Linked DNA regions of Oryzias latipes. The protein of the gene in region 2 purifies or fractionates together with the protein of the main gene of each other region. This does not show direct contact. Links are inferred from orthologs where the notes say so. Each region holds a gene or a part of one and is shown on either strand. Other genes may lie near its edges. The genes, in order: stk39 and solute carrier family 12 member 6.

Evidence for each region.
Region 1: the proteins of solute carrier family 12 member 6 (region 2) and stk39 purify together in Homo sapiens (affinity purification with mass spectrometry; 3 studies listed by BioGRID and IntAct, with this or other methods). This does not show direct contact. The link is inferred for Oryzias latipes from reciprocal best matches to the Homo sapiens genes SLC12A6 and STK39.

The regions. Positions count from the first base shown.
Region 1 is NC_019879.2:21,553,135-21,556,961, forward strand, and holds part of stk39 (STE20/SPS1-related proline-alanine-rich protein kinase), read right to left. Parts: intron 2,900-3,827; exon of another isoform or gene 2,739-2,899; 5' UTR 2,697-2,738; coding exon 2,591-2,696; intron 988-2,590; coding exon 875-987; intron 741-874; coding exon 632-740; intron 1-631. UniProt on the Homo sapiens protein: Effector serine/threonine-protein kinase component of the WNK-SPAK/OSR1 kinase cascade, which is involved in various processes, such as ion transport, response to hypertonic stress and blood pressure.
Region 2 is NC_019876.2:21,363,661-21,367,487, forward strand, and holds part of solute carrier family 12 member 6, read left to right. Parts: intron 1-936; coding exon 937-1,163; intron 1,164-1,229; coding exon 1,230-1,357; intron 1,358-1,428; coding exon 1,429-1,614; intron 1,615-3,452; coding exon 3,453-3,617; intron 3,618-3,749; coding exon 3,750-3,827.

The DNA.
Region 1 (3,827 bases), on a different chromosome or scaffold from region 2:
TTAACCGTTCGAATATTAGGGACAATATTGTTCAATAATATTTCAAATACTCCTAGTTTTTCAGCAATCCAACGTAGTGACAGATTATTTTTGCCCATTAAAATAAAGAGGTTTAAACTTTCAGCTACAGAAACTTTGAACTATTAGCATAATTATTGGCACTTTCTGTTATAGCAAAGCTAATGTTTTAGCTATGAACTGCTCAATGATTCGCTTATTTTTTATGTTTTAAAAACACACTGATGAAAATTTGGTTTTGGGTGTTTTTTACATGTTGTGGCATTTTTTTCTCATGGTGGAGGACATACATAAAATTAAACTCCAAATTAAATTTCTGAATATTTCTGTATTGTTATAAAGCAGGAGCAGATGCTGTTTAAAAAAACAATCCTGAACTTTTTCTTTTCAGAATCTGTAGTAATTTTAAGTTGGATTTGTGACAAATTGAAAAAAAAAATGTTTTTTTTTTTATTTGAAGATTAAAAAAGCTTAAATTTCCCTCTATGAAAGACTGAAATTACGATAAGCAAGGCAGGATGAAAGCAGTGACTCTATTTTTGCTGCTGATCAATTTGTGATTTTGAAATCTATCACAGTGAAAGTGTTATTCACACAGCTAGAACAAGCTTACCTCCACTCAGAAGCGTCATGACCAGCCAGAGTTCATCCTTCACCACAAAGGAAGTGTAGTAGGTAACAATGTTTGGATGGTGGCACTGGCTCATTGCTTGAATTTCTTTCTGTCAGCAGAAAAAAGATTTTATTTATTATGCAAAGGATCAAAACTTTGGTGTTATTTTCTGGATGTGAGACTGGATTTAAAGACTAGAAAAATAAGCAAAATAATAATGAAAGAGATGTGTGTTTTACTCACCAACAGTTCATCCATGCTGGTCTGGCATTTTTCAAGGTTGATCCTCTTTATGGCCACGCGCTCCTGTCTGGGGGTGCAGAGGGCTGCCTGCACCACAGCTGTGGCTCCGCTGCCTGAAATCACAGCCACAGCCGAGCGGTGAGCCAAGAGGGACTCACATCGCACAGCTGGAAGATCATGTTCGTGTCTGCACCACTGCCTCGGCTTTCATGTTTAAGTCTGTGCTTTTGTTGTTGTCTGTGTAGCAGCTGAAACCTTAGACATGTCCTGGAGTACATCACTGATTTGTTTTTTTTTTTTATTTCTGCTTGGCAGTTGTGGGGGTACCTGCTCACAGCAGCAGCACTATTTCCTATTAGTAGTGACTCATTGACACATATGAAGTGAATATTGACCAAATATATAATACGTTTTTATTTTTCAAACAAAAACTGCACACTAGAACTCTGCATTCATGTATGCTTTTCGACGTACAGTAAAAAACCTGATGAAAGAAAAGCTTTCCACTGATCTGGTAGATTGTTTGCTATTGTTTGCAAATCAGTGGAAGTCAATGCCACAAGGAAAAACAGTTTATCACCTTTGTGTGAGTGAACATTCATGATCATTTGTTCTCAAATCTGTGCTTGTTCCTCTGTGATTATTAGAAACAAAGACGTGTCAGTAGCTATTATGGAATAACACTAAATACTGTAATTACATAAAAAAGCAATGTCATATTCGAAAGTAGTATGGGTGTCATTTTAACAACAATTTGATATGATTCATGGTCGGTTTTGGTTAATTTTGATTGATCCAAGTCACTGACCTAAAATCGCACCAGGACAAAAATTCAACCAGTGTGACTGAGATAAATACTGAACAGTGCAGGGGAAGTTTTCCAGATTCCTTGTGTTTCTTGCAAGATAATCAAAATTAAATATGTGTACAAACAAACAAGTAAACAAGAATTAATGGCAAATTCATAAAGTTCAGCCCACTGTTGTTTTTCCACAAAAAATGAATCCAAACTGAAGTTTATTAGAACATTCTACCTCACTGTATGGTCGCATGTCTGCATAATTCACCGTTTTCTGGTGGTTTTTACCTTATAACCCTCTGTGCCTCAAATCCAAATGGTATTCTCCAATATCCATTTAGTTCATTTTGAAACAATTTTCCAAAAAACTTGATCTGACAAATCGATCTGGTTGGACCGCAGGAATATAAATCAATTAAGTTGATTAATCGTTATGCTGCTAGTGAGTATTTTTTATTAAAACATGTAGTTATCTTTTAAATAAAATGTAAAGTTCGAACACAAGTTTTGGTTGTATTATTGTATATTAATCGTGAACAGATATCTTTTAGGACTTCCTGTGAGGAAAATAATTTTAAAAGACTCCATCAGTTATTTCTGACTAGAAGAAATAATAAGTTTTCTTGGATTAGTACAGAAAGTACTTGATGATGCACCAAACAGCAGCTGAAAGCCTCAGTAATTGTGTTTTAACTGAATAACCCTGCGCGTGCTCGTTCCTGTAACGGAGCAGCCTGTTCGGTTGAAGGAACTTGTTCGCGTGACATTTCGGTTCCTCTGAATGCATGCGGTTCGCAGACATGTTGACAGAAGAGGCGGCATTTTACTGATAAAAATGCCGGTAGGCCGTTTTCCGCCGCTCACGACTCATCATTTCCCCTAGCTGTGATCAGAAGCAGACTTCCCCGCGTACTAACCTATGACTTCCTGCAGCTCGTACGCCTCTCTGGTAATTGGCCAGCTGGTTGTCACCGACGGCTGCGGCTGGAGGACGGGAACCGGGGATTCGCCTTGGTCCGCCATGATGCCCGTGATGCTGCGCTAGTTAGCAGCCTCCGTGACTGACTGTGCGGGGGGAAGAGACAGACAGTCAGGTTTGACCTCACCTCCTCGGTGGTGGTGTCAGCGAGGGAGGTGCACCACGGCCGCCGCCGACTCTCACTGAGCTCAACCCGGAAAATAACGGAACACGCGTGTGCGCGCGCGCAGCCGCACACGCGCCCCCACTGACACGTGCCGGCTGACTCAACGATGTGTCACTATCGCTTAACACAATGGCCCCATTTACACGCTCTGTTCGTTTGATTTGAAGACACAGACCACTTGAGTACGCCATGTTAGCTAATAAGTCAATACAAAACAGATTATATTATCACAAATTTTATTTTATTATGTTTATACAGAAACTTCTGTCTCTCTGGATGATTTCATCCTATACACTGCTCCTTTTATGACAAGTCATTTAAAGACCCACCCCAATAAAAGTCGTGTTTTGGGGGATTTAACATGTTCTGTGGCATTTTTCTGATGATGGAGGACACATTTAAAGAGAATTAAGCTCCAAATTGCATTTCTGAACATTACTTTATTCAAATCGTTGTGAATCAGAAGCAGATGAAAAAAAAATTGCCACTTGAAAGGGAGCTTATTTGTGACGTAGAAAATACACTGGGCGGGCCACAAGCTCAGTGCTTGTGGAAGGGGAAGGGTGGCGGGGTTGCTCTGCATAAAGGGTCCCATCCACAAGTCAGAGACAAATTTCTAAAGAATTACTACAGATCTGCAGAAACTATGTCCTAGAAAACTGAAGTGTTTTCTTTCTGGAAAAAAACGTCTTTTTAAAAAAAAAAATAAACAAGGAATGCTTTTAAAATAGCTCAAAAATTATCAAAGAGGGTCTTTAATGTTAAATAGGTTTCTTTATTACTAAACCCCTCACTAAATGAAGTGTGTTCTGAGCCTCATGTGGAAGGACTGTCAATGATTTAAAAGACTATCCCAGTTTTGATTTTTGTGTAATAAATATTTTTGTATCTGTTTATTTTTTGTGTGATAGTGTTGATCTAGTGTAGTAAAGTTGATGTTGATGTGTAGTGACAGTCAAATATTTGCATAAGTTAACTAGTTGCATTTTCCTCGTAAGTATTTTGCTCA
Region 2 (3,827 bases):
TTCATCTCTTTTTAATCTAACCTAATGACTAGGTGTGAAAAGCCTAATTTTGAAGTATTTTTTATCCGAATTTGGGACATAGTGCACAGTAAAAGATCAAAATTTATTTTATAAAGGGCTTTATGATTTTTTTTATTATAACACACTTTCAGCTTTTGCTTTTGCATCACCACGTTGGATGTTTTTCAGCCTCCAACTTTCAAGAAAAAAAAACTTCAGGTCCATAGTGTTCTAATTTAACACATCAAAAAACACGTTTCTATGCAATCCCCCCAAAAAAACTGACCACAAATGTCTTATCAATAACATAATATATGTTTGCATACATTATTCCACAGGTTAACGCAAAGCAAGACAGTAGAAAAGACATGCATGTTTTTTGTTTTCTTTATTCTGTTTGCTGAATTTGATCATTTTGAAGACTGTGATGCAGCAGAAAACAAAAGAGAGAAGACATAATAAGGAGGAGGAGATGAGACACCAACAATCGAAAAATAACAAGATTAAAGTACTAATAATTGATTTTTTATATTTATTTCTTTGGTATTAGCAGAATAATGCCCCTCGAGGAGTGCATTATCAGAAATAAATGGACTTTAAGGAAAAGCATGTCTTGCGCGATCAGGGCTCGCTTTGTCCTTTAATTTATGAAAACATACACCTTGTCAGAAATTATCCCTTACATAAAATTGATTAGTTATAAAATGAAAGTGAGATTGACACAATGGGAAAAAACAGGCTAATTTGTCTGCAATTAATTCATTGCGATTAACACAATAGTTTGACATTCCTGCAGGAGCAACTCTTTCATGCAGGAGAGTTATAGTGCTGGAGTCCTGAACAATCTATTGTTTTTCATCAGCGTTTGACCAACAGAAATCAGGTTTTCAATTTCCTCTCTCTGATCCAGTCTCAACTCTCTTTCTCCACTTCCAGTTGTACATTGTGCCTAAGGCGGCCGTCTTTCACGGCGACGGGGGAGCCATGCTGAACAACATGCGTTTGTACGGCAGCATCTGCCTCCTCCTCATGTCCCTGCTGGTCTTTGTGGGTGTCAAATATGTGAACAAGCTGGCGTCAGTCTTCCTGGCGTGCGTCATCATTTCCATCATCTCCATTTATGTTGGAGCGCTGGTCTCAGCCTTTAAGGAGCCACATTTCCCGTGAGTATTTCTAGGAAGACGTATGGATTCTCACAGCTTGACCTTACAGCTACTTTGTTTCTACAGAGTGTGCATGTTGGGGAACAGGACCATCAACGGCCACTATGTTGCAGACCACCACTGTGAGAAGATCATCTCAGAACTGCACAGAGAAGAAGTAGAGAGACCTGAAGGCAACTTTAGCCTCGGCTTCGGTGTGTTCAAGTCTCATTCTGTCAGGAACCACCAAAAAACCGTCCTCCTAAATGTTCTATCTCCCTGTCAGAAAACAGCACAGTGGAGCCGGCCTCGCCCCCCACCCGTGAACCTGCAGCCGAGAACCAGACCACAGATCTCTGGGGGCATTTCTGTCAAAGCCGGGATCTGAACGCAACCTGTGATGAGTACTTCACCAACAACCAATTCTCCCAGATTCAGGGCATCCCAGGGCTGGCAAGCGGGATAATTACAGGTATGGTGGGCTCTTAAGTTAATCTGTTAGCTAAAAGCAACAGTGGGGAAACAAAATTTAGAATTCCTATAGTTTATTTCACAGTAAGAATGTTTCGGTCCAATGAGACACAAATCGCTCCAATTTTTAGCAAATTTGTGAACAATTTCATTAAAGTTTTTTCTACAATTTACAAGTAGCCTGTGGGAGATTTGAAGTCATTGGTCACCTAGCTACATAACATTACCTTTAGTAGTTTTTGATAGACTCCCATCCGTTTCCAATGGGAATTCTTATTTTTTTATTTATATAAACCATAAGTTCAAAAGTAATAGCACTGTATTCCTAATGGCGCTTTACAAACCAAAGGTTTTGAAAGGATGTTGATGACTGCTTTTATGTAGAAGAAGCAGGACAAAGGATAACATCCTGACCAACTTCACCTCAGACTGAAGAAGTCAATTTGGACAAGAAACGAAACAGTTCAACAAGAAATTCAGTTGACGTGAGAAAACATCTGGACAAAAAAAGATCCTTCATCATTATAAACAATTATGCTTTTTTAAATAGTTGATATTTTCATCACATATTATAAATAATTGTTAAAAAAGATTCCTTCTTTCACAAATTGTTTGATTAAAAAGGAAACAGATCTAGTCTTTACTCATTATCTGTATATTAAAATCCTGACAAAATCAGAACTTGTCCTAAAATTTAAATTTTATTGAAATATTATTTCAACTTTCCATTTAAAATTCAATTTTATTCTGTTGTAAAATCAATTTTCATGAAAGTATGATTGAGGTGAACAAATGTCAAACTTGATTATTAAATAGAGAAATTAAAGGAAATGCTTGCTTTGGTGTAAAAAACATTCCTGAATTTAATTAAAACAAATCACTTTTTTTGTTGCATAAAAAAAGACAAATGTAAAAGTAAAAAGTCTGAAATAGGAAATATAGAAATTAAAAAATGAAAGAAACTACATTTATTTGGAGTAAACATCCATGAATCTGAACTGAGCATCATTTAGTTTTCATATCAGACCATTATTATTCTTTTAAAAGTGCTGTATTAATCATAAATGGATGTTTTATGAAGTGTTTTTACTAATCTGCGATCCAAGTTTGAAAATTAGATAATCGATCCATAAAAGTAGAGATCGATCTTTTGCGATGACCTAACGCAACTTTTGTGAGATTTTGTGAGATTTTGTGAGATTTCAAAGATCAAGCTTTGAAAAAATCATGGTGTAAAACTGCTAGAAAGGAGGTGGGTAATAAAGAGGAGGGGGGCGAGAACACAACCTTGAGGAACACCAGCGAAAATGAGTGAGGGTTGAGATTTAGAGGATTTCAGCTGAATTAACTAAAGTGCAGCTTCTTTGTTAGAGCGTCTCTGTTTGAGAAACCATGTAACACTGTATGATGGTAACAATGTCCTTGGTTTATTATTTCACTAATAACTTTTACAGTATGTGAACTGTAAACTCTGTAAATTCAAAATTGATTTGAATCAAATCAAGTGGATCAAAGGAATCGAAAGAATTGTGAATCGATTGATTCAGGCTCTCATGAATCAAAATCGAATGGATTCTGGGGATTATTGGTGACATCCAGCCCTACCCTTCACCCTGAGAAAACATGAAAATGTTCTGGTCTCAAAGGTTTAAGATGTTCTGAGCAGAGAAAAAAATTAAAGGATGAGATTGACATGTATAACATTTATTTGTATTTAATACATCTTTGATGTTTTGCACAATAAAGAAATAGTTAAGAAGATAGTTCTCCTTCTCTGTACCTGAGCGTGCTCAGAGATGTAGGGAAGTTTGCAGGTGATTATCCCGTCTGTCTTGGTAGAGAACCTGTGGAGCTCCTACCTCACCAAGGGAGCTGTGGTGGAGAAGAGCTCCCTGTCCTCCGTTCAGGCCTCTCATCCTGCTTCCATTCAGCTCCCGTATGTCTTCGTGGACATCACCACCTCCTTCACACTTCTAGTGGGAATCTTCTTCCCGTCTGTCACAGGTGCAGCCTTTACCTCTGGCCAAAGTGGCAAAAGAGACGTTTTGAATGTTTATTTTGACTAAATGAATTGGAGAAATTTCCATTGGTTTTCCTGTCAGAGGTGTTGGTTTTAAGAACTGCTCTTCTCCTAAGGAATCATGGCTGGCTCCAATCGCTCCGGGGATCTGAAGGATGCTCAGCGCTCAATTCCCATCGGAACCATCTTTGCCA